Linked DNA regions of Callithrix jacchus. The protein of the gene in region 2 interacts with the protein of the main gene of each other region in a biochemical or structural test. Links are inferred from orthologs where the notes say so. Each region holds a gene or a part of one and is shown on either strand. Other genes may lie near its edges. The genes, in order: AMER1 and KEAP1.

Region 1 (16,155 bases), on a different chromosome or scaffold from region 2:
TTTATTCAAACTATGGTAGGACGATTCTTAGAAGAAAAATCATCTCAGTCAGAGTTGAGTAGGGTGCTCCCTAGGGCTCTGTGGGTAAGTCACCAAACCTCCTTGGGGCTCATTTTCCCCAAATGGCAAATAGTAAATGAGGATAACTGTGTGGTGATGTCTTAGGAGGCTTTACTTGCTCATTCAGCCAACTTTTGAAATTCAGGGACCTAAAAGAGTCAGCAACTGGCTAGCAGCGAAGGATTATCTGGGACTTTCAACTAGCCAGGTTCTGTAGCCCAGGTCAAACTCAGCTAAAAGTACCAACATCAAAAGAAATGCAAATCGACAATACCCTCAGGGTATTTATCGCTTTACAAAGCACTCCCCACTCCCACACCCCCCATTTGCCTCCTCAGCCACCCATTAATCAGGCCTGGTGGGGGATGGCAACTCCTTGTCACAGAGAAGGAAACTGTGCAGAGACTTGGGAGAAGACTTGTCCAAGGTCACATAGTGTAATGGTGACAAAGCCACACTAGCTCCTAGAACTGTTGAGTCTCAGTTTCATGCCACTCTGCTATATTGTGCAGGCCACCAATCAAAGGAGGAAGACTGAGCGACAGAACTGCAAAGGTTCCCCTCATATCAGTAGGAACTATAATCTCCCACTCCCATCCCACCTCTGTTCCAGTCTAGCTAAGCCTTCTTTGCAGCATTTCCAGTCCACACTGGTTGCCACCGTTCAGGCCCTATGAAGCACATTCCAGAAAGCCTGCTGACATCAGAATATAGGGGCCAACAACCCAGCCTGTGGTTGCTCTCCTCACCAGCAACCCCACCATCACTCCTCTCAAACTACAGGACATGTCACTCTACTCCCCTTTTCCTTAAGAGATAGGTTTGAGTGGCCCAAAAACCAGAAACCTGCCAACATGGATGAAGATGAAGAATCTGAGCTATTTGAAGAGAATGACTTATCAGATGATCTGGAACTTGAATGATCTATTTCTAAAACCCATAGCCAAGTACTATTTGCTCAGGGCCTGAAGGAAGGCTTGCTTGGCTTGGTACCCTCTGATGGAGCTGCAGAGGCAGCTGGCAGAGCCCCCTCAGCTACACCTGCAACTACTCCTCCTCTAATTTCCAGCCTTCCTGCTGAGGGGTACCTCCTGCCCAGGGACATCTCACCAACTCCAGATACAGCAAGACCCCAAACTGGGACTTCTCTCCTCTGCCCCTATTCCCCCACCAGCCCCCTCAACTGACTTGTTCACATACTGAGCTTCATGTAATTCATTCATCTCTCTCAAATGGACCCTCCTTCATCTTACAGTCACTACCTCTAGCACATAGCAGGAGCTCAAACAACACTGATTCAACTGAAATCTAACTCAGCTGGTTTCTTGGCCCAGAACTGGAATGTCAGCCTCACCTTCTATTGGCTGTGTGGTTTGAGAAAGTGGCCTAACCTCTCTGAAACTCAAATGCTTTATCTGTAAAATGAAGAAAATGCTATTTATCATGCAAGATTGTGGTAAGAATTAGAGATGATCAGTGTAAAAGCAAACTGATAACTAGACACTAAGTGGATATTCAATAAAGGGCTCTCATAATGAGGCCACCTTTCTCTCCATCACCTCAACTGCCACCCCACATTCTCCAAAGGTGACACAAGCCTCTTAACTGAGCCCCCTCTAGTCCCTTCCTACTGCAGACTCCCTGGCTCCCCTCTTCGATCTTATCCATCCTGTACACTGTTGCCAGAGTCATTTTCTTACAACCCCTATTTCAACACATCACTCCTCCATTTATCAAATTATTCTGCATTGCCTGCAGGATAAGGGCCAAACCTCTGTGTCTGATATTGATGGCTTGCTCTCCCTGAGTGCCCCTGGCAAGTTTGTCAGCTTCGTTTCTCTACCTCTTGGCCCCAGCTCCAAATACACAGGGGCTTGCCCAGTCTGGGAGATGTGGTCATCCACATACCACCTCTCCCTAGAAATGGGATTTCCTGGCGAGGCTTCTTAGTGCCCCAGGTTTCTCCTCAAGCTCTTGAGGTCCCCTCCCTGCCCAGCTTCCCTTGAATGATAGGGGCTCTTACTTACCATTCCCATCCCAGGCTCCCAAACTTTCTTGGAGAGAGGTGCCTGCCTGCATAGGCTTCCACGAAGTCAGTACTAGACCAGCTAGAGAGTGAGATCAGACATGCACCAACTCTTCCCCACCCCCTCTTCAAATGAAGAACAGGAGAGGAGCTAACTCCAGGGAAACAGATGTGACAGAGCAGCTGAGGAAACCCTACAGAGGAGCAGCTGGGCCAAGTGAACAATGGAGGCCTCTGACATTCCTATGTGTCCACTCCCCTCTACAAACCATGCCCTGTGGGAAAGGCCAAGTGAGGAAACTGAGGCTTGGGAGGGGACTAGAAGAATGTGATTTGAGGAAGAACTCGATTTGAATCGGGGACCAGGAGCTTTGGACTTCTGTGTAAACTTGAGCAAATTCTTTCCCTGTTTTGGACCTCAGTTTCTTCATCTAAAAATGGGAAACTGGACCAGGGAGTCTGCTTGCTCCAGGTTGCCCTGAAAGGCTGGGAGAGGAGTGATCCTGTGCCCAGTTTTCTACTGGCTGCTGAGTCAGGAGGCATAGCAAGGAACACCGGATTGGCTGTGGGGGTCCTAGGTCTTACTGGTAGATCTGTTATCTAGCTGGCTGGACCTAGTTCACCACTTCAGGACAGCGGTGCACTGTAGCCCAGCCTCACTCCTTGCACCACCTCTCAACATTTTGCTCTTTCAGAATGCACTGGGCCTGGCCTGTGAATATTTCCAATATATCCAGAAAGGAGGGGGCCCAGAATTGGTCATGCCATTCCGTGCTCTCCTGAAAAGAGCCACAGCCCCAGGCCAGAAGGGCCAAACAGATGGAGAGGAAGGGTTAAGGCATGCTGACTGAGGATGGAAGGTTAGTATCCGTATCTGCTTGGAAGCCCAGCAGGGGAAAAAAACAGTAGGAGATGAAAGCAATGAAAGCTCTATGATGAAAAAAAAATGCAGATCAAAGGGTCGCAAAGGCCCCTGCAGCAGCAGTGTGCCTGCCTATGACCACACCATGCCCCTCAAGCCATTTTCTCCACTGTTCATATTTTCCCCGAATTCCAAAAGGGTGGAGAGAGCAAAGTAGTCTTAATAGGCTGGTACCTGTACCTCTGTAGTGGTTCTGGTTTCCCTGCCTGCCTTTGCTAGAAATACACTTACACATGCACAGGTTTGAAAAATAAGACAAAGCAGCGGAGATGGAAGACTCTGAGATTATTTAATTCAGAGAACAGAAGTTGGAGGTGAAGAGAGAATTTAGTGTCTATGAAATCTCTATTGGATTGTTAAGCAGACGAGCAATGGTGGCCAGCTGCTCTCAGCTCCTTCCCCCAACACATACACATACACACAAACACACATGCAAGGTTTAACTACAGCATGAAAGGCTCAGAATAGCCCTGAGAATGAACTGGACAATGAGGCAGGTGACCCAGAAGTGAGTGACACAGAAAGGCTATGAAATATTGCCATGGGGTCTTAACCCTTTATCACCCACTGCATCTGCCCAGACAGGATTCAGGCAGGGAAACTGAAATAACATTGGAAATTATCTCTTCTAGCCTCAGATACCCTATCTGTTAAGCAATGGGGGCTGGAAACCCCTTCTCCTTCTTAGTTCTACCTGCCAGGCTTGCTTCTGTTTCCTAGTGGAGCAGGGCTGTTTCTCCCACACATACTATCCAAGAGTGGAGATGTAACAGTTCTTGAGAAATTTTGTTTTTTGAGACAGGGTCTTTCTCTGCTGCCTAGGCTGGAGTGCAGTGGCATGAACATGGCTCACTGCAGCCTTGATGTCTCAGGCCCAAGAGATCCTTCTACCTCAGCCTTCCGAGTAGCTGGGACCACAGATGCACACCACCACCACCACCCCAGGCTAATTTTTTTGTATTTTTCATAGAGATGAGGTTTCACCATGTTGCCCAGGCTGGTCTCGAACTCCTGGGGTCAAGTGATCCACCTGGCTAGGCCTCCCAAAATGCTGGAATTGCATATGTGAACCACCATGCTTGAAGAATTTTTAACACCTCCACTATACTAGGAGGGGGTCATTAGACTGCCAGATTCTTTTAACTACTTCCTCTCCTTCTGAAATATTTAGTCCAAGCAAAGCTGCAGACCAAGACCAAGAGGCAAAAGAGATAGGAAACGACAGAGAGGTTCCTCTTATGAAGCTCCCAAGTTAACTCAGTCCCCCTTTCCTCTTAGGGAATGAGGGAGGTAAGATGAGGGTGATGGTTAATGAGATCTGCATTGATTCCTGTACAGCGGCCCTTTCCACTGAACACAGTAGAAAGGGCTGCTGTACAGGAAGCAGCAGTCTATCCCTAAATAGCTGTGTGACCTTAAGCAAGCCCCTGTTTCTTTCCAAGGCTCAGGATTCCCATCTGTAAGCACAGGAGTTCAACCTGGTGCTAACCCGAGGACCAACAAAAGCCCCCATCAGCAGAGGCCTGGGGGACACGTCTCAGCCCCAACCACGTTGGTATTTATGCCCAGCTTCCTACTTCTTCCTGCCTTTTCCCCTGCATTTCCAAAAGGAGGCTGACATACTAAAACTTTCCTTTGGAGGTAGCCTGCCCACAGCTCTATTTCCAGATTCAAAGGTGGCTTCTTACCTGCCTGACTTTGCAGCAAGCTTCTGATCCCTTTCTAAGACCCCATTCTAAATCTCATTTGAAAAGTTTGTATTATAGCATATATATATAAAAAAATACCAACTCCCTGCCAAGTCCCTACTCTTTGATGCCCCCTTCCCCTAAAAGGATCAGATTCCCTTTCTACAGCCCGGCATCTGGGAAACCCCACCACTGAGCCTCAACCTCTTCTCTACCTCTGAGCCACACCATCTAAACCAGAATAGACTCAGTTACCCCCCTCACCCTGCCTGTCAACCACTCTCTCCCCTCCCATTCCTAGGTCTGCTTACCCTTTGCCTACCAAACACCTCTACTCTCTGGCAGCTTCCAAGGATGATCCCCCTGCTTGTACAGATCTTTCATCTCTCTCTCCCTGTAGTTTGCCTCTAGGCTCATGAATCAGCAACCAAAGATATGCATAGTCTGGGGTCTGAGCATTCCAAATCCTGAGCCTGTTGTTGGGGGAGGATATATCCTAATTTTTTTCTTGTAATTGCAATCATCCCCCTTCTAATCTGTCCTTATTAGGCACAGTCAATACATATCTCAGCTTTGAGTACCATTTTTCTAGTCACTTTCATATGAATCAGGATAAGCACAAGTTGGAAAGGCAAAGGTCTTCTCGAAAACTACAAAGAAAGCAAGTCCTTCTGGAACAATCATTACACTTGGCTTTGAGAGGCTTGTGGCTGAGGTCCAGGTTTTATTTACTCCTCCAAAGGGTTATGAGAGAACCCAGACATCCATGATATCAGAGACACAAAACAGAGACAGGCCAACTTAATTATAGTCTGCCTCCTATTATAATTTAGGCCTGAATATGCCCAGGAGAAGTAAGCAGCCCTGGAGGAGTTCCGAGAAGAAAGAAGTCAACATGGGTGGGCAAGACCCAGGCAGAAAAGGCACCAAGGAAAAGGTAGGCCCAGAACTGGGGTCTGAGAAGTAAGATTTGGACAGGTGTAGGCTGAGTGGGTTTGAGCGTGTGCAAGGGAGTTACATAGAGCACATACATTAGGTGCCTGTTGGCCTGAGACAAGGCAGAGGGCAGGTCCAGCCCTGGGATGGAGATGCCCAGCTGCAAGTAGAGGTTTGTGTTGGGGCCTAATCAAGGTGGGAGGGGGTGACTGTAGTGTAATATCTGTGGTCCTGGCTCCTGTCATAAAAGTCCATATCTAGCCTTCCCCCAAGTGAGGGATTTACTGGGTCTCATTGCCCCTCCTCAAAGACACCAAAGCTTGCCTGGGCCCTGCAGCCCAAAGGGCTCTCCAAACCAGAGGTTAATCAAAGGTCCAAGAAGAGCCTACCAAGCCCCTCAGTTGCTTCCTCTGTCCTATTCCTCAGAAAGGGCTAAGAGCTCACTGCCAGAGGTACACCGTGGTGCAGTAACTGTACAGTGCGTGGGGCTGAATGAGGGGAGCTGCACTGGGGAAGGGGGCTCTGCTTGAAACCCAGTGGGGCAGGCAGTCCAACAGTGCAGTGCCCTGCCCTCCACCTTGCCCATGCCGCTGCAGCAGGCAAGCAGAGCCGCAGAGGGAGGTGTCTGTGTGCGGAACAAGGCTTGCCTTGACCCCACGTCCCATGCCAAGGGGAACGTGGCCAAACAGAGACCAGCTCTGCGGGGCCAGTTCAGCTGCCGCCTAGGTGCTTGGGCTGTGACGCATGCGGCCGGCCCAGCCCCTCACCACTGGGGGAGCGCAAGCAAAGTCCAGCGTTCGGGCGATCACCAGTGTCAGAAGTGCCTCCAGCAGACAATGACAGCGGCCTGGCGGGCTGGGTATGTTAAGTAACTGCGAAGTTGGAGGGTTTGGCCACCTCGCTAGATCTCTTGTACACACGGAGATGGTATGATGCGTTTCGTACTACAATGACGGACCTTTCGGCTTCTGGCAAGCCAGTGCCCCCCCAAACACCGTGTCCATCGCTATTTTTAAACCAGAGGCTGCAGAGAAAAAAGCGGCCAGTATCTTCCAAGGGAAAAGGAGGTGAGGCGAGGGGGGAGACAAAGCGGCCTTGCAGCTCTAACTCAAGGACTAGCTTGGGCCGCTGCTCTAACCCAAGGACCAGCAAGAGCCCGGCTGCCAGCCAGCCTGCCCGACCGCGGGGGCGGGCGCCAGATGCGCCTGGAGGCCCAGGAGGAGGGGCGCGGCTAGTTGGGGCCGCAAGGCCAAGGTTCTGAAGGGAAGTGTGCAACTGAGCTCAGCCCACAGGCCCGACTGAACTCCTCAGGGGAGGGGGCAGTCTGTGGATGTCTTAATCTACGCCAAAGCCGGTCTCTGTCGGGCCCAAGCCAGAACGCCAGCTTGAGTCCGCAGAAAGGAGGGACAGGCTGGAGATGCACAGGGGAGGAGAGGGGCGGCAGCCAGGCAGCCGGGGTGAGCAGTACCCGTGTAACACAGCTGTTCCAGCAAATGTGCTACAACAAAGCTGCGGAGCTCCCGGCCTACAAATGCACGACTTGGGGTGCTGGCTGGAGGCGCCCTTCCCGGGACTATGCGGCAGCACGTGCGGGCCCATCTCCGCCTCTCGGGAGAGCCGGGAGGGATGGCCCAGGCTAGCCTGCCTGCCTATCCGCCCTCCCCTCCCCCCTCCCCCCAGCGGTGGTCACTTGTGCCCAGGGGACTCAGGCCGCTCGGCCTCTTACCCGACAGTCCGCAAAGCGGGTTCCAAAGGAGAGGGGCGAGAGACCGGGACTCCGACCCGCCCAGTCCTCAGTGCACTCCTCCAGTCCGTAGGAGCAGAGCACGCGGGAATGCACCCGACCGCTGGCAGGCGGAGGCTCCTGGCTGTGCGCAACGCTTACCCGGCCCGGTCAGGTTCCCAGCGCGGTTATTGTCCGCTGCGCCGCCCTTGGCCGGGCTGCAGCCTAGGCTGCCGCGGCTGAGAGCGCCGCCACCGCAGCTGCTGCCCCTACCGCCGCGGCTCCAGTCACCTCCTGCACTGACTCCCCTTCCCCAGGCTTTGGGTAGCTCCCCCATACCCCCTCCCCCCCGTACTCCATGGCCACTGGGTGGGGCATCTGCGTCCTGATTGGCAGGGGCATGACCCAATCACTATGGTGAGAAGGCGTGCCCGGCCCGCCCACTGTTTTCCTTGGTGCGTTTCTCTTTAAATGCAAATAAGTACGGGCGTGGTGTTGGCAGGGGGCGGAGAGGGTGCGGAACCCCTGGCTGGGGCTCCCCTCTCCTGCCCCCACGCCGGGCGGGTAGTGGCGTGGCTGCACCGTGGCCTCAAGGAGCCGCTCCTGCCCGGATGGGGTTCACCGGATCCCTGGAGCTCGGTTTCGGTTTTCACGCACTCCTATTTCCGTGGCCGCTGTGCATTCGCTCTACTGTGCCCTGGCCGCCACCAGGCAATTCATTCCTCAGCTAGAGGCCAGCGGGGAGTAACGAGGCAGAGAGGTTGAGGGACTTTGCAGAACCTCTTAGCACCTCGGCCTGCCCATCCTTAGTCGTAGAGACAAGGCCCTGCGAATCGTGCCCCAGGCCACCCGGAGGAGGGACTCACCTGCCAGGAAAGTCAGCTGCAGCGCCTGCGCCCCAACTTCGTCCTCCTCTCTGGCACACCAGGGCCCTTAGAGACCGTAAAGGCCAACTTCCACCCGTTACTGACGTGTTGCCCCGACTCTGCTGCCCAGAGTAGGGAAAGCCCCTCCCCACAGTTACCCAGCCTGCCGGCGACACGGGCCAATTTGGAATCCAGAGCCCCGGGCTCCCCTTCCAGGATTGCTTTCACTTTTCTTCTCTGAGATGATACCTGTTTTCATAGTTTAACCCTCACCCAAATTTCCCACCTTCTATGGAATGTGGAGGGAATCTCCAAGGTCTCCAGAGTCCCCTTTCCCCCAATCCTTTGTGAGCCTGGCTTTGTGCAGGCCTTTTTCCCTGAAAAGTCTAAATATTAAGAGGAAAATCTTGTCTGGGTCCAAACCGGAGGTCAGCCTGAGGACAAAGTGAGGAGGCCTGTACTGGCCTTGTCTGCTACTGTGTGTAGGATGTGGCAGGGAGCCAGCCGAACTTGGGTCTCTAGCTTAAGGACATTAAGTGGCATTAGTGGCTGCCAGGGCCAGGTGAGCTGAGGCAACAAAGAATCTAGTTCTACCACTAGTTCAAGAATATCCAGAAGGCCCAGCCCTAAAACTCTGTGTGTCTAAAAAGGGAGGTGGGGGGATTAAAGTTAATGATAGGGAGAAGGATTAGAGAACAATGTGTGCTATTTTTGCATTGCAGGAGTGTTCTCTGCTGCTTCTGAGTCCTGGCAGTCTTGAAAAGATCCAGCTGCTGAACTGGTAAGAGGGGGACTGCTGCCTCTGCATGGGTGGAGCACAAGAACTGACATAGCTGCTAGGGATCTGACTCCACCTCTACCTTAGACTTGCTAGACACCTTGGCCAATTCATTTTCCTCTCTGGGCCAGTCCATCACCCCATCACCATGAGGAGAGGGTAAGCATCATCAGGCCCCCTTGATATCTTTGAGATCTGACAGTTCAACTCATTTTCTTTCTATAATATTCCATGACTTTCCATGGAATATTATGGAAAACATATATGTTCCATCACCTTTCATGACATTAAATACATTGCCAGCAAAACTCAATACTGAACATTAGAGTCCCATCCTAGTACCCAGTCTAAATAAATGGTGAGGAGTAAGGAGCTGCTGCTGGCTCATTATGCAACTTTTTCCCATCAGGATGGCTGGACTATAAAGGTTTCCCTGGGGCTATGCTTTCCTGCTTCGCAAAGTCCTGATTCTCATTTGTGGGCCTGATTTTGAAGTGTCTTTTCTTTTCCAGAACCTTCATTATATCTCCTTCCTACCTCATGCCTCTGGTCACTGCAACTTGTTCACATTTTACTCAGAACTTTGATTCACTGAATCAGACCAAGATTATGATTCGGAGAAGCAGTTTATAAACTTGGGATTCAGGGAAACAAAAGGCCAGAGCAGTCTCAGTTGTGGAAGCAGGGCAAGAGGAGGTGTGCGAAGTAGTCAGGTGGCAGGCTCGAAGTAGTTCCAGGCACTATTGTGCTGCTCCTGTCACAGGGGCTAGTCTTCTATACCTTCTGCCCAGCCACCAAACATTCTGTGACACCAGCCCATTTTTGGAGTGACTAGTGTGGGAGAAACAACTCATGAGAAATTGAGCTAAGTCCTAAAGAAATGGGGCTTCAGGTAAGCAAAAATATTCTGTGATGCTAGAGATCTCCCAGCTGAGCACCTTTCTTTGTGGTCCTGATATTACTGAGTCTTGGGAGGATATTGTGTGTGTGTTAAGGGGAAAAGGATGTGGGAGGGGACAACACAGCTTCTTGTTTGTATGGCCCATTTCTCTCCAGGGACGATGTATGGATAAATCAAGTGTGTGCATAAACTTGCACCTCAAAATGCCTCCCTGCACAGAGAGTACTCTAAGGCCCTATTCCACATGCTAACTGACACGTGATCAACTTGTTTGGTCAAGATAGGCACTGGTGGTGGGTAGCAGGAATACTTTCTTCAGTTTGTTTGCCTGAAAAATGGAGATAATCCTCGTGCTGCCTAGTGTCTTGTGGCTGCGGTGAAAAGCTGGTAAGAACAGATGTCTGGGCTTTGTGGAGGCAACTCCATAAACTCAAGTAGACAGACTAGGCCACATCATTACAATGCCCGTTTCTTTCTTCACCAAGTTTTCCATAGTCATTTCCTCTATGCCTGGCCTGTTGATAGGTACTGGGGGAAGCAGTACAGTGATAACCATTTTGAGGCACCTGGGAATGGGGTTCTGAGAGGAACTGAAAGCTAGACTAGAGGTCTGGCAAAGGTGTTCTGGAGCATTGCAGATGAAAAGACTCCTTCTCCCCAGGGTGGCAAGGGGAATCAGAGAAATGTTCCATGGACGATAGCTTTGATGGTTGGATCAAATGAGAAAAGTAGGGGAAAGGTTTCTGCCCAAGCCAAAGCCCATCGGTGAGAGGGTATGGTGGGTTGGGCAAGAGCTATGATTCTGGATGGCTGTGGCTAAGTATTTGTGTAGTGGGGAGAGGAAGAGCTGGACATTATACCAGAAAGAAAGGCCTGGGGCCAAAGTGTAAGAGACTGTGACTGCCTGGATAAATTGAGGCTCAACTAGCTAAGTTCATCCTTCCCAGGGATGTGGTACGTTGTAGTGGCTCTGCCACCAGACTGCCTGGGCTGGGATGCCAGGCTCACCAGTTAGAAGCAATATGATCTTGGCTGGCTAATTCACCTGTCTGAGTCTCAACATTTTTTTTTCTGCAAAATGAGAATAATAGCACCAATATCACAGAATTGTGTAAGATTTGAATAGTCCATGTAAAGTGGCACAGAGACTAGTCCATATGCTGGTCTCAATAAATGTTAGCTACTGATACTGTTATTATTATTGGTCTCCTTCTGATCCAATGTACAGATCTTCAGAATTATGGAAATGCTAATTTGACTTTGAAGCCAGTTTTTAATGTAAACACACACGAGGCTATGATTTCTTATGCACAGATTCATTTTGATCGTGCAAACCCAGACTCAGTTTCCCAGGGAAGAATCTGTTGTTCAACTTTATATCCTCAGCACCCAACAGAGAGCTTGGCACAAACTTGGTGATGAGCATGTGTTTACTGAACATAGTCAAATGAGGCATTTTCAGGCCTAATATCAAGCTTAAGTGCCAGCATTCACCAGTGAAGTGTGATGTTACCACTCATTGAGCACCTCCTTTATGCCATGCCCTGTGTTAAGTGACACACTCATTACCCAGAATGATGGACTACACACAGCTTCTGGCCTCAAGGGCAGTCAGTCTAGTGGAGGAGGAAAAAAACTCATGAGTTTTTTACTTGGGCAAGGGACTGCTGGATGGTGTTGTCATCCACTGAACTGATGAATATAGGAACAGAATTCGGAAAATGTAACGATTTTGGTTAGGACATACAGAATTTTGTCAGAAATCCCACTTAGGGTCTTTGTGCAGGCTGTTCCCTCTGCCTACAATGTTTGTCCTCTGAATATTGCCATAGTTTGCACCTCAGTTCCTTCAGGTAGCTGCTCAAATGTCATTAATAGTGACACATTCACTGGACAGTTGATTTATAAAATAGCAATCCCCATTTCCACCCCCTTCACTCTCCAATTCTTTAATTGGGCTTTGTTTTTTTCTTATCCATAGCATTTACCACCTCTTGGTATATGTCTTATTGTTATTTATTTATTTTCGTGTCATGTTTAAATTGTCTGTTTCTCATTATGAAAATGGAAACTCTGTGAGGGATAGACAATGAACAAATACATACATAAAATATACAATACTTCAGATGACAATAAATGTGATGGCAATCCTAGTGTAGTGGCATGTGCCTGTAGTCCCAGCTACTCAGGAGGCTGAAGCAGGAGGATAGCTTAAGTCCAGGAGTTCTGGGCTGTAGTGCACTATGCTGATAGGGTGTCTGCATTAAGTTCAGCATTAGTATGGTGACCTCCCAGGAGAGGGGGACCATCAGGCTGCCTAAGGAGGTATGAATTGGCTAAGATCAGAAATGGAGCATGTAAAAACTTCCATGTTGATCAGTAATGGGATTGTGCCTGTGAATGGCCACTGCACTGCAGTCCGGGGAACACTGACCTTGTCTCTTAAAAAAATAATATGATAAAGAAAAATAGACCAGGGAATGGGTACAGGGAGTACTGAGGGGTGCTCTTTTAAACAAGGAAGTTGGAGAAGGTGATATTTTAGCAAAGATCTAGAGCAACTGAGAGAGCAAACCATGAGGATGTCTAGAGAAAGAGCGTTCCAGGTAAATACAAAGTCTCTGACGTGGTGACATGCTGAAATGTTAGAGGAGCATCTAGGCAAGCCAGTGTACCTGGAACACAGTGAGTGTGGAGGAAAGTTGTAGACGAGGAGGTCAGAGAGGACGCAGGGAAACAGACAATGTACAGTTTTGTGAATCATTTTAACGACTTTAGACTTTGCAGGATTTTGAGCTGAGGAGTCACATGACTTTAGTAAAACATCTGGGGAGCTATAGCAGCAAGGAAAGAAGCAGAGATGTCAGGAAGGAGGCTCTGATCAGGATCCATATCAGGTTAGAGGCAGTGGAGGTGGTGGAAACTGATTGGACGCTGGATGTATTTGGAAGACAGAACTGGCTGGACTTGGTGTTGACACCTTAGATGAATGGTGTGAGAGAAAGAGGAGACTGAAGAATACAAGCCCACAAAGCCCTGAGGAGGGATTGGCAATGTGAAACCAGAGCAAAGAGAAATGGCTCTCCTGGAAGCCAAGTAAGGTACTGGGATTTTATAAAAGACAGAGTTACCAAGAGCATATGTGTCAGATGCTGCCCAGAAATCCAGCAAGATACAGGCAGAAAAGATGCCATTGGATGTGAATCTGGCAAGTCACTGGTGATATGGGCAAGGCTAGTTCAGGACAGAGCTGTAGATATACACCACACTGTGCTGGGGTGTCAGGAGAATGGTCTATGAGAAAAGGGAAAATGTATGCAGCTTCCTTGTTCTAGAAATTTGACCGCAAATATGTAATAGATAGAGGGGGCTCTGGAGTTCGGGTTTGTTTTTACAAGATGGAAGGAGGTGAGTTTGTTTATGTGCTGAGGGGAAAAGAAATCAATCAAGTAGAAGATATAGGTAACAAGATAATTGATGGGTGGGGGCTACAGGTGAGAGTGGAGGATGGAATCCAGAGCCCTTACAGATGAGTTAGCTTTTGCTGCAGTAGGGATCAAGACAAGAGGGAAAAATGGGTGGATTCAGTGGAGTCTGTTGTTATGGAAGATTGAAGATGCCACTCCTTATCACCCTTACCTGCTCTGGGAAGAAGGAGGCAAAATTCTTAGTTGGCAGTGAGAGGAAAAGCAATACTGGAGGGAGGTTCAAGGAAGACTGTTAATTTGGACAAGATTTGAAATAGCCACTGTGGACAATGGGCTAGTTGGTAAAGGCCCAACTAGGCTGTCAACCAATAATGTATAGCCACCTCATTCTGCAGTTCTGTGACATCCTGCTTCCTAGCTGTGTGGCCTAGAGCAACTTCACCTACTTAACTTCACTGCACCTCAATTTCCTCATCTATAAAATGGGCATGAGTAAAACGAAGCATTGAATTAAATGAGTTAATCCATGTGAAGTGATTACTGAGGACACTGCCTGGCACATATAAGTACTTGATGGAAATAAACTCTTGAGAGTTATTTTTATTTTTGATTGACAAATCATAATTGTATACACTTACGGGATATATGATATTTTTATATATGTATACAATGTGGCATGATTAAATCAAGCTAATTAACATATCCATCACCTTGTTTACCTGTCATTTTTTTTATGGTGAGACATTTGAAATTAACTGTCTTCGTTACTTTGAAATAAATAATGCATTCTTACTGCCTTCAGTCACTGTCCTGTGCAATTGATCTCAAAACCTGTTTCTCCTGTGTATTAGCCAGTGTTCTCTAGAGGAACAGGATTAATAGAATAGATGTATATATAAAAGGGAGTTTATTAAGGAGAATTGACTCACATGATCACAAGGTGAAGTCCCAGAATAGGCTGTGTGCAAGCTGAGGAGCAAGGAAGCCAGTCCAAATTGGAACACTGCAAAGGTGGGGAGGCTGACATTGCAGTCTTCAGTCAGTGGTGAAGGCCTGAGAGCACCTAACAAACCACTGGTGTAAGTCCAAGAGTCTGAAAGCTGAAGAACTTGGAACGTGATGTTCTAGGGCAGAAAGCATCCAGCACAAGAGAATGATGAAGGCTGAAAGACTCAGACAGTCTATGCCTTCCATGTTCTTCTGCCTGCTTTATTCCAGCTGAGCTGGCAGCTGGTTAGATTGTGCTCACCCAGGTTGAGAGTGGGTCTGCCTCTCCCAGTCCACTGACTGAAACGTTAATCTCCTTTGGCAACACCCTCATAGACACACCCAGGAAAAATACTTGGCATCCTTCAATCCAATCAAGCAGACACTCAATATTAACCATGATAAGTCCACCCCTTGTCAACTTGAACCCATACACATCTCCTGAAATCATATGTAATCTTTAAATAAAGACAATAGTAAGGTCAAAATTATGCCTAACATAATATACAACCAGAAGGTGACTAATCCTCAGCCTAAATGCTATTGCATAAAGATAACAACATTTAAATGCTGATAGGAAGTCAATAAATCTTATGTCACATGATAAAGGAAAAAAGAGGGAAATAAAATGAAGATATTTTCTCAGTGCAAGTGTATACATACATAGACATGTTCTTAACAAAATAAGGAGGAAATACTCATGACAATTACAGCCCTCATTTCTGCAACTGCTCTGCAACTGTTATTGATGACTATAATCTTCTAATACCCATTTTGCATTCCTTCCCTTGAGCAAGCACCTCAGCAGGTCATGGTTTTTTACCTGGTGGATTGACCCAAACCTTCATTTCTGAAGGATCTGGGCTATCTGTAGTCCTGCCTGGATTGGGTTGTTGTAGTTTCTCATTGACTTTAATCACAGGGTACAGTAATACTATGAGACACTGTAAGGGACCTCCTTGCTTACCTCCATTGTGGAGTAGTAGACTGATTTTAACTTGACAGTCTGGGTCAATCACCTCAGCCAACATTGGAACTTCCTTGTTAGCCTGTTGACTTAGAGGTAGGAGGAGCCCAAAGTCTCTGGGTGGCAATCTTAACTTCCAGTATAATGGAATCATTACTGTGTCTCCTTGTGGCAGTATTTCTCCCTCTGAAACTAAGACCTCTAGGCCAGCAGAAAGTAATGAACAGGAAGCAAAACTTTTGCTAGTGGGTCACTAGGGGTGATGGTGAGTGGTGCTACTTCCACCCATTGATTACTGAACCCGTGAGTCCTGGCTATAGGAGGAGCAGTACCATATATTGGACACTGATTCAGAGCATACAAAGCCTTCTGGAGAATTGTGCCCCAGCCCTGCAAAGTATTGTCACCTAGTTGGTGTTGTACTTATGACTTCAAAAGGCCATTTCACTGTTCTATTAATCCAGCTGCTTCAGGATGATGGGAAACATGATAATACCAGTGAATTCCAGGAGCATAAGCCCACCACCACACTTTTTTAGCCATAAAGTGTGGACCTTGGTCAGAGGCAAGGCTGTGTGGAGCACCGTGACCGTGGATAAGGCATTCTGCGAGTTCACAGATGGTAGTCTTTACAGAATCATTGCATGTAGGATATTCAAACCCATATCCAGAATAAGTGTCTGTCCTGGGGAGGACAAACCGCTGCCCTCTCCATGATGGAAGAGGTGCAATATAATCAACCTGCCACAAAGTAGCTGGCTGATCACCGAGAGGAATGGTGTCATAAGGAGGGCTCAGGGTTGGTCTCTGCTGCTAGCAAATTTGGTACTCAGCAGTGGCTGTAGTTAGGTCAGCCTTGGTGAGTGGAAGTCT
Region 2 (16,055 bases):
GAACCAGCGGGAGTTTTTTCCCCCACTACGATTGGCTGGTGTAATTGTCATCCCTTAAAAAGGCAGCCAATGAGAGGCGCGGCCGCTTCGCCCTTCGAAGCCGAGGGCTGAGCGAAGCGAGGTGCGGCGGAACCCAAGGCACCCGGGAGGCAGCGGGAGCCACGGACCCCGAGGCGGCTGAGGGTCCCTGGTGTCACTCTGTCTTGAGAGTGGCCCCAGAGTCGTTCCTACTCTCTTTGGTAGACCCCAGCATCGTCCTCCTTTTCCTGAGAATATCCTGGCATCAGTCGCCCATTCCTGAAGGGGACGCTTGGCATCCTCCCTTTTTTCTGAGTGATCCCAGAGTCGTCCTCACTTCCTGAGGGGAATCCTGGCGTCATCCTCCTTCCTGAAAGGGCCCTGCTGTCAGTCCCCTGTCCTGATGGCCGGCACCGCATTGTCCTTTCCTCCTGCGGGAAACCCAGGCATCATCCCCTCTTCCTGGAGGGACCCTCATGCCATTATCCCTTCCTGAGGGGACCCCAGAGCCGTCCCCCCTCCCTCAAGGCTTCCCAGCGTTGTTCCTTCTTCCTGAGAAGGAGCCTGGTACTCCAGAATGTTTCCTGTCATTGTCCTCCCCACACTCAGAAGGGATCTGTCACACACACACCCTTTTTCTGAGATCAGTCCCTTCCTTGCTTCCAGTTTAAAGCAAAGGCTTCAGTGGACCCATAGATGGGAGAAGGCCCAAAGACCCCCTTCTCTGTGCTTCCTTGCCCCCTGTTGAGCAGAGGGGAAGGCAAGACTCAGCTCACCTCGAGAAGATGGGGGGAACCAAAACCAGCTGATAAAGAAATTCACTATGTCACACGTGGTGGCGGCGCCTCTAATCTCAGCTATTCCGTAGGCTGAGGCAGAATTGCTTGAACCTAGGAGGCGGATGTTGCAGTGAGCCGCGATAGCGCCACTGCACTCCAGCCTGGGTGACAGAGCTAGACTGTGTCTCAAAGAAAAAAAAAATTAGCTGGAAAAAAAAATTTCTCCCGGCCAGGCTCTGAGAATTAAAAAAAAATAAAATTAGCTGAGTATGGGCTTCTCTGTAATCCCAGCTACTCGGGAGGCTGAGACAGGAGAATTGCTTGAACCTGGGAGGTGGAGGTTGCATTGAGCCAATATTGTGCCACTGTTCTCCAGCCTGGGTGACAGAGCAAGACTCTGTCAAAAGAAAAAAAAAAAAAAGGCAGCACCATAAAATCAGTTACAACCCTGAGCAGTGGATATGGTGTTGGTGCTCACAGGAGGGTGGGTCCTTTAAATAGGGAACTTCCTCAAAGCATGTGCAGTTTTTTTTTTTTTTTTTTTTTTTGAGACAGAGTTTCGCTGCTGTTACCCAGACTGGAGTGCAATGGCCCCATCTCGGCTCACCGCAATCTCAGCCTTCTGGGTTCAAGCAATTCTCCTGTCTCAGCCTCCCGAGTAGCTGGGACTACAGGCGCGCACCACCATGCCCAGCTAATTTTTGTATTTTTAGTAGAGTCGGGGTTTCACCTTGTTGACCAGGATGGTCTAGATCTCTTGACCTCGTGATCCACCCACCCCGGCCTCCCAAAATGCTGGGATTATAGGCGTGAGCCACTGTGCCTGGCCATCGCATGTGTAGTTTTATTTGATTTATAAGAAATATCAGGCGGAGAATTGCCTGAACCCAGGAGGCAGAGGTTGCGGTGAGCCGAGATCGTACCATTGCACTCCAGCCTGGGTAACAAGAGCAAAACTCCATCTCAAAAAAAGAAAAGAAATAAATATCATTTGTTCTGAAGTTTTGACGAATGCTACTTTTGTTGCCCAGGGTGGAGTAAAATGGCAGGCTCTCAGCTCACGGCAACCTCTGCCTCCTGGGTTCAAGCGATTCTACTACCTCAGCTTCCTGGGTAGTTGGGATTACAGGCACCTGCCACCATGCCCGGCTAATACTTGTATTTTTAGTGGAGACAGGGTTTCACCATGTTGGCCAGGCTGATCTCGAACTCCTGACCTCAAGTGATCTGCCTGCCATGGCTTCCCAAAGTGCTGGGATCATAGGCATGAGCATCGTTCCTGGCCTTAAGAATGCTACTTTTAAAAATAGGAACAAGCCAGGAACTCAATCTTGTTCCGTTTCTGACTTTCCTAAGTTCCTGTTAGGCCAGGCTCAGTGGCTCACGCCTGTAATCCCAGCACTTTGGGAGACCAAGGTGGGTGGATCACGAGGTCAAGAGATCAAGACCATCCTGGTCAATATGGTGAAACCCCGTCTCTACTAAAAATACAAAAAATTAGCTGGGCATGCTGGTGCGTGCCTGTAATCCCAGCTACTCAGGAGGCTGAGGCAGAATTGCCTGAACCCAGGAGGCGGAGGTTGCCGTCAGCCGAGATGGCGCCATTGCACTCCAGCCTGGGTAACAAGAGCAAAACTCAGTCTCCAAAAAAAAAAAAAAAAGTTCCTCTTTCACCCAGAGGCCCACAAGAGGGTGCTATCTGCCTTTTAGATGGAACTTCCTGAATCAGCCCTGAGGATATTCATCACAGAGCTATACATTCTGAGTAGCTGGGATTACGGGCACACACCACCTCACCTGGCTACTTTTTGTGTTTTTAGTAAAGACAGCGCTTTGCCATGTAGGCCAGACTGGTCTCAAATTTCTGACCTCAAGTGATCCACCTGCTTCGGCCTCCCAAAGTGCCAGGATTACAGGTGTGAGCCACCGAGCCCAGCCTATGTATTCATTTTAGTCTTGCTCTGTCACCCAGGCTGGAGTACAGTGGTGCAATCTTGGCTCAGTGCAACCTCTGCCTCCCAGGTTCAAGTGATTCTCCTGCCTTAGCCTCCAGGGTAGCTGGGACTGCAGGCTTGTGCCACTGCACCTGCCTAATTTTTTTATTTTTAGTAGAGACACGGTTTTGCCATGTTTGCCAGTCCGGTCTTGAATTACTGACCTCGTGATCCGCCCACCTCAGCCTCCCAAAGTGCTGGGATTACAGGTGTGAGCCACTGCATCTGGCCTTATTTTATTTTAGAGAGTTGGTATATCACTATGTCACCCAGGCTAGAGTACTGTAGTGCAATCATAGCTCAATGTAGCCTCAAACTCCCGGGCTCGAGTGACCCTCCTGCCTCAGCCTCCCAAAGTGCTGGGATTATTGGCATGAACCACTGTACCTGGACAGCCTGTCATTTTTATTTATTTTTATTTTTGAGAGAGTCTTACTCTTTCACCCAGGTTGGAGTGCAGTGACACGATCTTTTGCTTTATTTCCCAGGCTGGTCTTGAACTCCTGGGCTCAAGGGATCCCCTGACTCAGCCTCCCGAAGTGCTGGTAATGTAATATTTACTTAGGAATGAGGTAAGTACTGGAAACCTGAAATGCTGAAATAAGGCAGAATTGTCAAGATTGTTGAAGTTAGAATGATCACGATAACATTTAACACCGGAGCACCTTAGCTGTATAATTTAAAATTCACAGGCTGGTCCAGGTGTGGTGGCTCACTCCTGTAATACCAGCACTTTGGGAGGCCAAGGTGGGTGGATCACTTGAGGTCAGGAGTTCGAGACCAGCCTGACCAACATGGTGAAATCCTGTGTCTTAAAAATAAAAAATAAATAACAAAAAAATAACAAAAAACAAAAATTAGCCAGGAATGGTAGCCTGTAATCCCAGCTACTGGGAAGGTTGGGGCAGGAGAATCGCTTGAACCCAGGAGGCAGAGGTTGCAGTGAGCGGAGATTGCACCACTGCACTCCAGCCTGGGCAACAGAGCAACTCCATCTCAAAAAAAAAAAAAAAGAAAGAAATTAATAATTAAATAAATGAATTTATGAAGCACTCCCAGGAAAACAGCAGGAATGTAATGTGTCAAGTGCTTTGGGGGAGAATCTGGCAGCATCTGCTAGGGCTTTGCCTCTTTGATGATCTAATCAATTCCACCTCATAGCATCCACCTTGAGAAAACACACAGTTGTGCCTACAGAGACACAACTACAAGAGGGCGTTGAAGCCTTTGCGTGTAATTCTGAGAAAACAGAAACAACTTAACCATCTGTCCCTAATGGAAGAGACAGAACACCAGGCAGCTGGTTACAGGAATGTGACGCCACAGATGGTCTAGAAGATCTGAAGGAAAAAAGGCAAGTTGCAGAATGCAGGCAGCATCATCCATTTGTGTAAAGGAACAGAACATTGCTGCAAAGTTTTTCTGTTTGTTTGTCGTAAGATTAGAGTGGGGCTGGAATGGTGAGAGAGTAAGATTTGCTATTTTACAATTAGCCAGGCACGGTGGCAGACGCCTGGAGTCCCAGCTACCTGGGAGGCTGAGGCACAAGAATTGCTTGAACCTGGGAGGCAGAGGTTGCAGTGAGCTGAGATCCAGCTACTGCACTCCAGCCGGAATGTCAGAGGGGGACTTGGTCTCAAAATCAAGCAATCAAAATGTGACTTCACCAGAACCCTGCCTGCTGGTCCCTCAATACATGTAGTCCCTCAGCTGCAGCATCTGGCTTACCTGTGGTGTGGCCAACAGCCCTGGTTTATGTGGCTTGGGGGCTGCCAGCCTTTCTATGCTCAAACTTGGATAAATGGGTCACCCAGCCCGAGGTCAGGCATCACTGCAGGTTCGTTCACCACCATCTCCCCAAAGCCCAGAATAGGGACTCAAAAGAAGTTGGTTTTTGTGGAGTTGGAAAGTGGGTGTAGGCCGGGCAACATGGCAAAAATAAATTACAAAAAATAAATTAGCAGGGCATGGTGGTCCCAGCTATTGAAGAGGCTGAGCTGGGAGGATTTCCTCATTGCAGTAAGTTGAGGCTGCAGTGAGCCGTGACCACCCCACTACACTGCAGCCTGAGTGACGGATGAGATTGTCTCAAAAAAAAAGAAAAAAGAAACAGCTGATACCAAAATTGCTTAATTGAATTGACTAAACTTTTTTTTTTTTTTAAAAAAACAAGGTCTCGGCCAGGCGCAGCTCTTTGTGGGCTGAGTGGGGCAGATCACCTGAGGTCAGGAGTTTGAGACCAGCGTGGCCAACACGGCAGAACCATTTTCGTCTCTACTAAAAATACGAAAATGAGCCGGGTGCGGTGGCTCATGCCTATAATCCCAGCACTTTGGGAGGCTGAGGCGGGCGGATCACCTGAGGTCAGGAGTTCAAGACCAGCCTGACCAATATGGTGAAACCCTGTCTTTAAAAAAAAAAAAAACGAAAATGGCCAAGCGTGGTGGCTCATGCCTGTAATCCCAACACTTTGGGAGGCTGAGGTGGGCAGATTACCTGAGGTCAGGAGTTCAAGACCAGCCTGACCAACATGGAGAAACACTGTCTCTACTAAAAATACAAAATTAGCTGGGCATGGTGTTGGGTGCCTGTAATCCCAGCTACTTGGGAGGCTGAGGCAGGAGAATTGCTTGAACCCAGGAGGTGGAGGTTGCGGTGAGCCAAGATCGAGCCATTGCACTCCAGCCTGGGCAACAAGCATGAAACTGTCTCAAAAAAAAGAAATTGACCTTGGGGAGCCCTAGGAGATGTGGAGATGTCACAAGGAATTAGCTCCTTTGTCTTCCAAGGCAGCTGAAACTTAAAGACAACTGTGTGGCTTGCTGATGGGGAGAAAGATGCCCTACATATCAAAATGCGACGGGTAAAGATTCCAAACTGGTTTCAATGACCAGCCCTAAGTCAAAGAGAAGTGTATTTCAGGAGAAGAGCCCTTTCTGTCTCCGGGTTTCAGACCTTCAGCCGAGAGCCAGGGTGAAAGACACTAGTTAGTCTGTTCTTTATTTTCCTTGGAAAATTACAGGGTTACTTATCAACAAAATAACTGTCCAGGGAAGTGCCATTTGGTGGCTTGTATGTACAGTTCCATCCCTAGGAACCGTATTTCCAGAGGGGGCCTCCCCGTGAGGCCCCCTTGGCACCCTCCCAGGTATCCAAGAACAAATCATAAGGTGACGGCTGCTGGAGTGGGTCGGACCCAGGCCTACTGCTGGGCAGAGGGTTTGGGGGCCTCTCTCCTGGAAACCTGCTCTTCTCACACCCCTGTTCCCAGCCAGGCTGTCTTGGACACTCCTGGGGCTCTGCTGAGGGCACATGGTTCCTGCTTTGGACTTCTTTTGAGATGTCATTTTAACACTGAGGCATCCCGGCCTCCCTTCCCAGAGGATGGGTTATTTGCAGTGCCGTCTTTTCTTTCAGTCCCGGTTTTTATACAAAAACAACAATATTCCCCATTGGACTGTGTTTTCGTCCAAGAAACAAAAGTGCCTCAACAGGTACAGTTCTGCTGGTCGATCTGCTTCCGACAGGGCTCCATGGTGACAGCCACGCCCACCCCACTCCGGCCTGATGTCATTCGGGTCACCTCACTCCAGGTGTCTGTGTCTGGGTCATAACACTCCACACTGTCCAGGAATGTGTGACCGTCATAGCCTCCTACAGGGAGAACAGAAGGGACGGTTACCACCTGTCATGCCACATCCAAAAGCAGGGGACAGAAAGAGGGAGAAGCAGCTGCAAGATACAAAAGCAGGCCGGGCATGGTGGCTCACACCTATAATCCCAGCACTTTGCAGGGCTTAGGCGGGAGGATTGTTTGAGGCCAGGAGTTCGAGGCCAGCCAGGGCGACATAGCAAAACCCTAGTCTCTTACAAAAAAAAAAAAGGCCAGGCATGGTAGCTCAGGCCTGTAATCCCAGCACTTTGGGAGGCTGAGGCAGGTGGATCACTTGAGTCCAGGAGTTTGAGACCAGCCTGGGCAACATGGTGAAGCCCTGTCTCTACAAAAAAAGACAAAAATTTAGCCAGGCATGGTGGTGCTCGCCTGTAGTCCCAGCTACTAGGGAGGCTGAGGTGGGGAGGAACAGTTGAGCCTGGGAGGCCGAGGTTGCAGTGAGCAGAGATTGCACCACTGTACTCTAGCCTGGGAAACAGAGTAAGACCGTGTCTCAAAATAAATCAATAAAAATAGGCCGCTCATGGTGGCTCATGATTGCAATCCCAGCACTTTGGAGGCTGAGGCGGGCAGATCACCTGAGTTCAATACTATCCTGGACAACATAGTGAAACCCTGTATGCACAAAATGTACAAAAATTAGCTGGGCTTGGTGTCGCATGCCTATAATCCCAGCTACTTGGGAGGTGGAGATAGAATGTTTAAACCAGGGAGGAGGAGACTGCAATGAGCCAGTGTTGTGCCACTGCACTCCAGTGTGGGCAACAGAGTAAGACTTTCTCTCAAAAGTAGTAAATAGATAAAAATTTTAAAACATAAAACAAAAGCTGGACAGAGTGGCTCACGCCTGTAATCCTAACAGTTTGGGAGGCCGAAGCAGGTGGATCACTTGAGGTCAGGAGTTTGAGACTAGCTTGGCCAACATGGAGAAACCCCATCTCTACTAAAAATACAAAATTAGCCAGGTATGGTGATGTGCACCTGTAGTCCCAGCTACTTGGGAGGCTGAGACAGGAGAATTGCTTGAACCTGGGAGGCGGAGGTTGCAGTGAGCTGAGATCGCACTATTGCACTCCAGCCTCGGTAACAAGAGTGAAACTCCTCAACAAAACAAAATAAAAAGAAATAAGATTAGCCAGGTGTGGTGGGTGCATGCCTATGGTCCCCGATCCTTGGGAGGCTGAGACAGGAGGATGGCTGGAGCCCAGGTGGTTAAGGCTGCAGTGAGCTGTGATCACACTACTGCACTCCAGCCTGGGCAACAGAGCAAGACCCTGTTTCTTTTCTTTTCACTTTTTTTTTTTTTTTTTTTTTTTAAGAGACGGGGTTTCACCATGTTGACCAGGATGGTCTTGATCTTTTGATCTTGTGATCTGCCCGCCTTGGCCTCCCAAAATGCTGGGATTACAGGTGTGAGCCACTGCGCCCGGCTTTGCTTTTCTTTTTTAGATGGAGTTTTGCTCTTGTTGCCCAGGCTGGAGTGCAAGGTGCAATTTCAGCTTACTGCAACCTCTGCCTCCCGGGTTCAAGCAATTCTCGTGCCTCAGCCTCCTGAGTAGCTGAGATTACAAGCGTGCTCCACTATGCCTGGCTAATTTTTGTATTTTTAGTAGAGACAGGGTTTTACCACGTTGGCCATGCTCGTCTCAAACTCCTGACCTCAGGTGATCTACCCGCTTCAGACTCCCAAAGTGCTGGGATTACAGGCGTGAGCTACCGTGCCCAGCCATGAGACACTGTTTCTAAAAAAAAAAAGAAAAGAAAAGCAAAAGCAGCCACCTGTCCACAACAGATGAGACTAGTCAGGACTCTTCCCCACCCCCAGGGCCTCACCAAGGACGTAGATTCTCCCCTGGTGCACAGTGATCCCCAGGGCACTTCGCCGGTGCTTCATGGGGGCCACGAACGTCCACGTCTCTGTTTCCACGTCATACCGCTCCACGCTGTTCAGCTGATCCTGACCATCATAGCCCCCGGCAGCATAGATACAGTTGTGCAGGACGCAGACACCTAAAGGACACCGTGCACAGAAGGTGATTCTGGGGTCTGGCTTCAGGAACCCCAGCCATCACCTCCTTGAGGGAGACTTTTCCTCTCTCCTCTACCTTCTCACCCTCAGAAATGAAGTGGGAGAGAGAGAAGCTTGGACTCCATCAGAATCCAGTGCTTCTGTGGGTACCCAGGGTGAGGGTGACAACAGGGGGGTCTCTCCCAGGCCTGGTTCAGTTTCACCCTAGGATGATGAGGGGGTGGTGGTCCTGGACGCTCCCCTCCCTGCCGTCCTCAAGTACCTGCCCCGCTCCGGATGGTGTTCATGGGTGTGATCATTCGCCACTCGTTCCGCTCTAGATAATAGCACTCAGCTGAATTAAGGCGGTTCGTCCCATCAAATCCCCCGACGGCATATAGCAGACGATTCAGGACGGCCACGCCCACCCCGATCCTTCGTGTCAGCATTGGGGCCACCAAGTGCCACTCATCTCGCTCTGGCTCATACCTGCAAGGGCGTGAGAACAATGGTGACAATGGCCATTATAGCTGACCTTTGTGGAATACTTAAGGGCCCTGTTCGTTCTTTTTTGCTTCCCTTAAATAGACAAGGTCTTGTTCTGTTGTCCAGGCTGGAGAGCAGTGGCACCATCACAGCTTAATGAAACTTCAGACCCTTCTTTTTTTTTTTTGAGATGGAGTTTTTGCTCGTCACCCAGGCTGGAGTGCAACAGCACGATCTCTGCTCACTGTGACCTCCACCTCCTGGGTTCAAGTGATTCTCCAGCCTCAGCCTCCAGAGTAGCTGGGATTACAGGCACCCACCACCTGCCCGGCTAATTTTTTTTTTTTGAGACGGAGACTAGCTCTATCACCCAGGTGCCAGAGTGCAGTGGCATGATCTTGGCTCACTGCAACCTCCACCTCCCGGGTTCAGGTAATTCTTCTGCCTCAGCCTCCAAGTAGCTGGGATTAGAGGTGTCCACCGCAATGCCCGGCTAATTTTATATTTTTAGTAGAGATGGGCTTTCACTGTGTTAGCCAGGCGGGACTTGATCTCCTGACCTCATGATCCACCTGCCTTGGCCTCCCAAAGTGCTGGGATTACAAGTGTGAGACACTGCACCTGGCCTGATTTTTGTATTTTTAGTAGAAATGGGGTTTTTCCATGTTGGCCAGGCTGGTCTCAAACTCCTAACCTCAAGTGATCCACCTGCCTCAGCCTCCCAAAGTGCTGGGATTACAGACATGAGCCACCACACTTGGCCTGCAGCTTCAAACTCTTGGGCTCCAGAAATCCTCCTGGCTCAGCCTCCTAAGTAGCTGGGACTACAGGTGCACGCCACTGCGCCCACCTACCCTCAAACACCAATGTTTGCAGCCATTCTCCAAGGACTGATATCCGTAGCTCCATTTTCCAGGTGAAGAAACTGAGCCTCCAGGCCATCAACTGCTCAAGTTCAAAACCATATCTGATGGGCCCCTAAGGGCTCAGCCAGACCCCACACTTCACAGATGATAAAATAACATCTCAGAAAGGAGAAATGGCATATTCAGCTTCACTCGTTGATGCTCACAGAGTCCTTTAGGTCCGGCCTAGTGGCTCACAGCTGTAATCCCAGCACTTTGGGAGGCCGAGGTGGGAGAATCCCTTGAGGAAAGGAGTCCAAGACCAGCCTGGCCAACATGGCAAAACCCCATCTCTACAAAAAATACAAAAATTAGCCAGGCATGGTGGCAGGTATCTGTAGTCCCAGCTACTCGGGGGCGCTGAGGCAGGAGAGTCACTTGAACCTGGAAGGCGGAGGCTGCAGTGACCCAAGATGGCACCAGTGCACTCCAGCCTAGGTAGCAAAGCAAGACACTGTCTTAAAAATAAATTTTTTTTTTTTTTGGTAGAGACAAGGTCTCACTATATTGCCCAGGCTAGTCTCCTGGGCTCAAGCAATCCTCCCACCTCAGCCTCCCAAAGTCCTGGATTACAGGTATGAGCCACGATGCCTGGCTCAACTATTTCAAACTGATGGAACTTTTTCCAGATCTACACAAAGGAAACCATATGGGTTTGTGACAGTCAGTCCCCTAAGCATTTCCCAGCCCCAGGCACAGAATCCGAGGTCACTGACTAGAACTCTCTCAGGAACTTAGCTTCATCCTGAGGCCTCCACTCCCTGCAGACAAAAAGAGGAGACAGGCACTCAGCCTCAGGAAGAATCCCCAAGTCTCAGCATCTTGGGACCTGCCAGGAGTGGGAGCCTCAGAGCCCACTCCCGGCCATACCACTCACCTCTCCACACTGTTGTGGTGGATGCAGCCGTGGGAGCCACCGACGGCATAGATGTGCCCATCGATGACCCCCACCCCGATGCGATTGCGGGGCACACTCATGGGAGCACAGGGCGACCACTGATTGGTCATGGGGTTGTAGCAGTCCAGGGCGCTGGAGTCGGTGTTGCCGTCGGGGGAGTTGTTCCGGCCGCCCACGGCGTACAACAGCCCGCCCACCACGCAGCCGGCCAGGCCACTCCGTGGCACCTGCAGGTCCGCCAACCGGAGCCAGGTGTTGTCACTAGGGTTGTAAGCCTCCAGGTAGCTGAGCGACTGTCGGAAGTAGCCGCCCGCGGTGTAGATCAGGCGGCCCACCTTGGGCGCCCGGCAGGGCATCATCTGCGTGGGCTTGTGCAGGGTGAGCTCCTCGAAGATCTTGACCAGGTAGTCCTTGCAGCGGGAGTCCGACTGCAGGATCTCACACTTCTGCAGCTGCATCTGCAGGAAGTTCGGCGTCAGCGAGTGGCAGCGCACGGCCCGCAGCAGCGCCTGGACATAGAAGCGCCGCTGCTCGCAGTCGTACTTGACCCAGTTGATGCAGGCGTGGAAGACCTCGGACTCGCAGCGCACGTTCAGGTCGTCCCTGCTGATCAGGGTCACCAGTTGGCAGTGGGACAGGTTGAAGAACTCCTCTTGCTTGGCCACCTGCAGAGGGCGACAGTGGGAAGGCTGACTCCCAAATCGCCCCCACCCCTCACCAAGCAGGACCCAGGACAAGAAGCTCACCAGTGCCGCTGAGAGTCTCAGCTTCCTCATCTGCTAAATGGGGATCTGAATGATAGGAACCGCATACATTGTAACCATTAAATGAGTTAATGCTACATGCCAGGCATGTCATCAGGACTCAGGGAAATGGGCAAAGACTCAATAGATGGTATACCCTGCAGTATCATTTGTTTTTTGGTTTTGTTTGTTTTTTGAGATGGAGTCTCAGTCACCCAGGCTGCAGTGCAGTGGCACTATCTCGGCTCACTGCAACCTCCGCTTCCCAGGTTCAAGTTATTCTCCCACCTCACCCACCTGAGTAGCTGAGATTACAGGCGCCCACCAATATGCCCAGCTAATTTTATTTCTTTCTTTTTCTTTTCCTTTTTTTTTGATACAGAGTCTCGCTCTGTTGCCCAAGCTGGAGTGCAGTGGTGAAATCTTGGTTCACTGCAACCTTTGCCTCCCGGGTTCAAGCAATTCTCCTGCCTCAGTCTCCCAAGTAGCTAGGATTACAGGAGTGTGCCACCACACTCAGATAATTTTTTTGTATTTATTTATTTTGAGACAGAGTCTCACTCTGTCACCCAGACTGAAGTCCAGTGGCGCAATCTCGGCTCACTGCAAACTCTGCCTCCCAGGTTCAAGTGATTCTCCTGCCTCAGCCTCCCCAGTAGCTGGGATTACAGGCACCTGCCATCATGCCTGGCTAATTTTTTTGTATTTTTAATAGATATGGGGTTTCTCCATGTTGGCCAGGCTGGTTTCAAGCTCCTAATTTCAGGTGATCCTCCCGCCTTGGCCTCCCAAAGTGCTGGGATTACAGGCCTGAGCCATTGCACCCAGCCTTGTATTTATTTTTAGTAGAGAGGGGGTTTCACTATGTTGGTCAGGCTGGAATTTTTGTATTGTTAGTACAGATGAGGTTTCTCCATGTTGGCCAAGCTTGTCTCAAACTCTTGATCTTACATGATCTGCCCATCTCAGCCTCCCACAGTGCTGGGGTTACAGGTGTGTGAGCTACCACACCCGACCTGTTTTTGCTTTTAAGACAGGGTTTTGCTTTGTTGCTCAGGTTGGAGTGCAGTGGCACGATTATAGCTCACTGCAGCCTCAAATTTCTGGGCTCAAACGATCTTCTCACCTCAGCCTTCCGAGTCACTGGGACTACAGGTGTGTGCTACCACACCCAGCTAATTTTTGTATTTTTATGGTAGAGATGGGGTTTCACCATGTTGGCCAGGCTGGTCTTGAACTCCTGACCTCAAGTGATCCACCTGCCTTGACCTCCCAAATTGCTGAGATTACAGACAGGAGCCACCGCACCCAGCCTTGTCGTTTTTTGATGTGGGATCTCACTTTGTTGCCCGGGCTGGTCTCGAACTCTTAAGCTCAAATGATTCTCCTACCTCAGCCTCCTGAGTAGCTGGGATTACAGGTGTGCATCACCATAACTGACTTGGTTTTTGAACTTTAAGAATGTGTTACTTATAGGGCTGGATGCGGTAATCCAGCCTGTAATCCAAGCACTTTGGGAGGCCAAGGTGGGCAGATCACCTGAGGTCAGGAGTTCAAGACCAGCCTGGCCATCATGGTGAAACCCCATCTTTAAAAAATAAAATAAAATAAAATAAAAAGAATATGTTACTTATTTTTTCTGAGTTTATTTTTATTTTTATTTTTTTGAGACGGAATCTCGCTGTCACCCAGGCTTGGGTGCAATGGTGCGATCTTGGCTCACTGCAATGTCCACCTCCCAGGTTCAAAGGATTCTCCTGTCTCAACTTCCCAAGTAGCAGGGACTACAGTCAAATGCCAGCATGCCTGGCTAATTTTCCTTTTTTTGTATTTTTGGTAAGAGATGGGGTTTCACCACATTGGTCAGGCTGGTCTCAAACTCCTGACCTCAGGTGATCCACCTGCCTCGGCCTCCCAAAGTGCTGAGATTACAGGTGTGAGCCACGGTGCCTGGCCAAGACGGGGTATAACCATGTTGGTCAGGGTGGCCTCAAATTCCTGACCTCAAGTGATCCGCTTGCTTCAGCTTCCCAAAGTGCTGGGATTACAGACCTGAGCCACAGCACCTGGCCCTTTCTTGTCAATTTCTATAGATAATTTCCTTCACTGAGAAATGAAAATGAAACCAAAAACAGTGTAAGGAAATTTCGTGCACCAAAAAAAACAAGACTAAGGTTCAGACTTGCAGCCTGTTATGGGTGTCTGATAAACATTTGCTGACTGCCCAAAAGGCTGGGCTGCCCCAGGATTTGGCTGCTTTTCACTGCATTCTGTCCCCACCTTTGACCCCAAAGAAACCAGGGAGCCCAGAGACCCAAGAAGACCTCACCTCCCCCAGCTGTTCACAAGTCTCCCTACATGTGTAGACAACTCAGAACTCCAGTTGTTTTTTAAATTTTTTTTTTTTGAGACTGAGTCTTGCTCTGTCACCCAGACTGGAGTGTTGCGGCTCGATGTCGGCTCACTGCAACCTCCGCCTCCCAGGTTCAAGAGATTCTCCTGCCTCAGCCTCCCAAGCAGCTGGGACTACAGGTGCACCACCATGCCCAACTAATTTTTGTATTTTCAGCAGAGATGGGTTTTCACCATGTTGGCCAGGCTGGTCTTGAACTCCTGACCTCAGGTGATCTACCTGCCTTGGCCTCCCAAAGTGGGACTGCAAACGTGAGCCACCATGCCCAGCCCCTGTTGTTTCTTGTTTGTTTGTTTGTTTACAGACAGGGTCTCATTATGTTGCCCAAGCTGGTCTTGAACTCTTGGCCTCAAGCGATCCTCCCACCTCGGCCTCCCAAAGTGTGGGGACTGCAAACGTGAGCCACCATGCCCAGCCCAGAACCTCCTTTTTCTCCAGTTTCCTGCCTTCATATCTCAATGGGAGACAGTGACCTTTCACATCTCAAGATGGGAGACTGTGATGAGCACTCCTCCATCCCTGGTCCTTCACCTGACACTACCGCCAGCCCCGTCCCCCGCTCACCTCCCCGAAATGCATGTAGATGTACTCCCGGGCACGCTGGTGCAACTCCACACAGCCAATCTGCTCAGCGAAGTTGGCGATGCCGATGGCATTGCTGGGGTCCAGCTGCTGCACCAGGAAGTCACTACAGGCACGGACAACGCTGTCGATCTGGTACATGACAGCACCGTTCATGACGTGGAGGACACATTTCTCGCCCATGGAGATGGAGGCTGTGTAGGCGAATTCGATGAGGCGCTCCATGACCTTGGGGTGGATGCCCTCGATGGACACCACCTCCATGCCCTGCTCCCGCAGCCCATTGGTGAACATGGCCTTGAAGACAGGGCTAGAAGAGGCCAGCACCACCTTGTGAGCCATGAACTGAGCGGCTGGCGTGTCCTGGTACTTGACCTGCAGGGTGACGTCACACAGCTGCTGGCTGAGCCGCAGCTCATTCATGATGCCAAAGGCCTGCTTGGTATGATCCTCCAGGGTGTAGCTGAAGGTGCGGTTGCCGTGCTGGGAGGGCGTCACCTCCGCCTTGCACTCCGTGGAGGCGTACATCACTGCGTCCCCTCCCCCGTCGGGGCACTCTGACCGCAGGGGCAGGAATCTGCTGCAGGCCCCAGCTCCGCTAGGCCTGGGTTCTGGCTGCATGGGGTTCCAGCAGATAAGCAACACCACCACCTCTGGTACTCAGGGGCCTGGAGGGGAGACAGCACAGGGTAGGGGGCAGGGGTTGGGGCTGGGCCAGCACCTGCTTGGCCTCCTTTTGTAAGAGAAAGCAATTTCTAGGTCAGTTTTCCTGCAAAGTAGGTGAAGCAGAGTCTATTTGCAAACTTGCAAACTTCCCCCTGACCGGACCAGCCCAAGAGCTCATCTTAAAACGCAGGTGAGATTATGTCTCTCCCCAGCTCTGGATCCTCCAACATCTCCCACAGTACCTAGTAAAATAGAACTCCTCAACAGCCTGCAAAGCCCTATTCAATTGGCCCCTGCCACCTCTTCCCTTTGCTCATTCTGTTTCAGTAATCTGGTGGTCTTTCCCTTTCTAGAGCATACCAAGCTCATTCCTTCATTTGCCTCACCATTTATTGGGTGTTTACTGTATGCCAGGCACTGATCTGGGTGCTGAAGACACAGCAGTGAGCAAAACACACAAAAATCCTACCCTCCTGGAGCTAACAACTGCAGGGAGGAACAATCATAAATTAGGCAAAATCTAGCTTCATAAAGAGAATTACAATGGCATTGTGACAAGCTAGTCAAGCTATTCTCAAGCCTCAGTCTCCTGAGTAGCTACAATTACAGGCGCTAGCCACCACAACGGGCTGAGAATCGGGTGCAGTTTGTTTTTTGTGGTTTTTTTTTTTTTTTTGAGACAGAGTCTCACTCTGTCACCCAGGCTGGAGTGCAATGGCAGGATCTCGGTTCACTGTAATCTCTGCCTCCTGGATTGAAGCGATCCTCCTGCCTCAGCCTCCCAAGTAGCTGGGATTACAAGGGTATGCCACCATGCCTGGCTAATTGTTGTATTTTTAATAGAGACAGGGTTTCACCATGTTGGCGAGGCTGGTCTCGAACTCGTGACC

Evidence for each region.
Region 1: the proteins of KEAP1 (region 2) and AMER1 form a complex in vitro, tested with the Homo sapiens proteins (2 studies listed by BioGRID). The link is inferred for Callithrix jacchus from reciprocal best matches to the Homo sapiens genes KEAP1 and AMER1.

The regions. Positions count from the first base shown.
Region 1 is NC_133524.1:61,515,882-61,532,036, forward strand, and holds the start of AMER1 (APC membrane recruitment protein 1), read right to left. Parts: upstream 8,324-16,155; 5' UTR 8,222-8,323; intron 7,657-8,221; exon of another isoform or gene 7,359-7,656; intron 6,492-7,358; exon of another isoform or gene 6,370-6,491; intron 1-6,369. UniProt on the Homo sapiens protein: Regulator of the canonical Wnt signaling pathway.
Region 2 is NC_133523.1:9,667,206-9,683,260, forward strand, and holds the end of KEAP1 (kelch-like ECH-associated protein 1), read right to left. Parts: intron 15,168-16,055; 5' UTR 15,121-15,167; coding exon 14,482-15,120; intron 11,427-14,481; coding exon 10,741-11,426; intron 8,962-10,740; coding exon 8,756-8,961; intron 8,475-8,755; coding exon 8,298-8,474; intron 6,446-8,297; coding exon 6,279-6,445; 3' UTR 5,766-6,278; downstream 1-5,765. UniProt on the Homo sapiens protein: Substrate-specific adapter of a BCR (BTB-CUL3-RBX1) E3 ubiquitin ligase complex that regulates the response to oxidative stress by targeting NFE2L2/NRF2 for ubiquitination.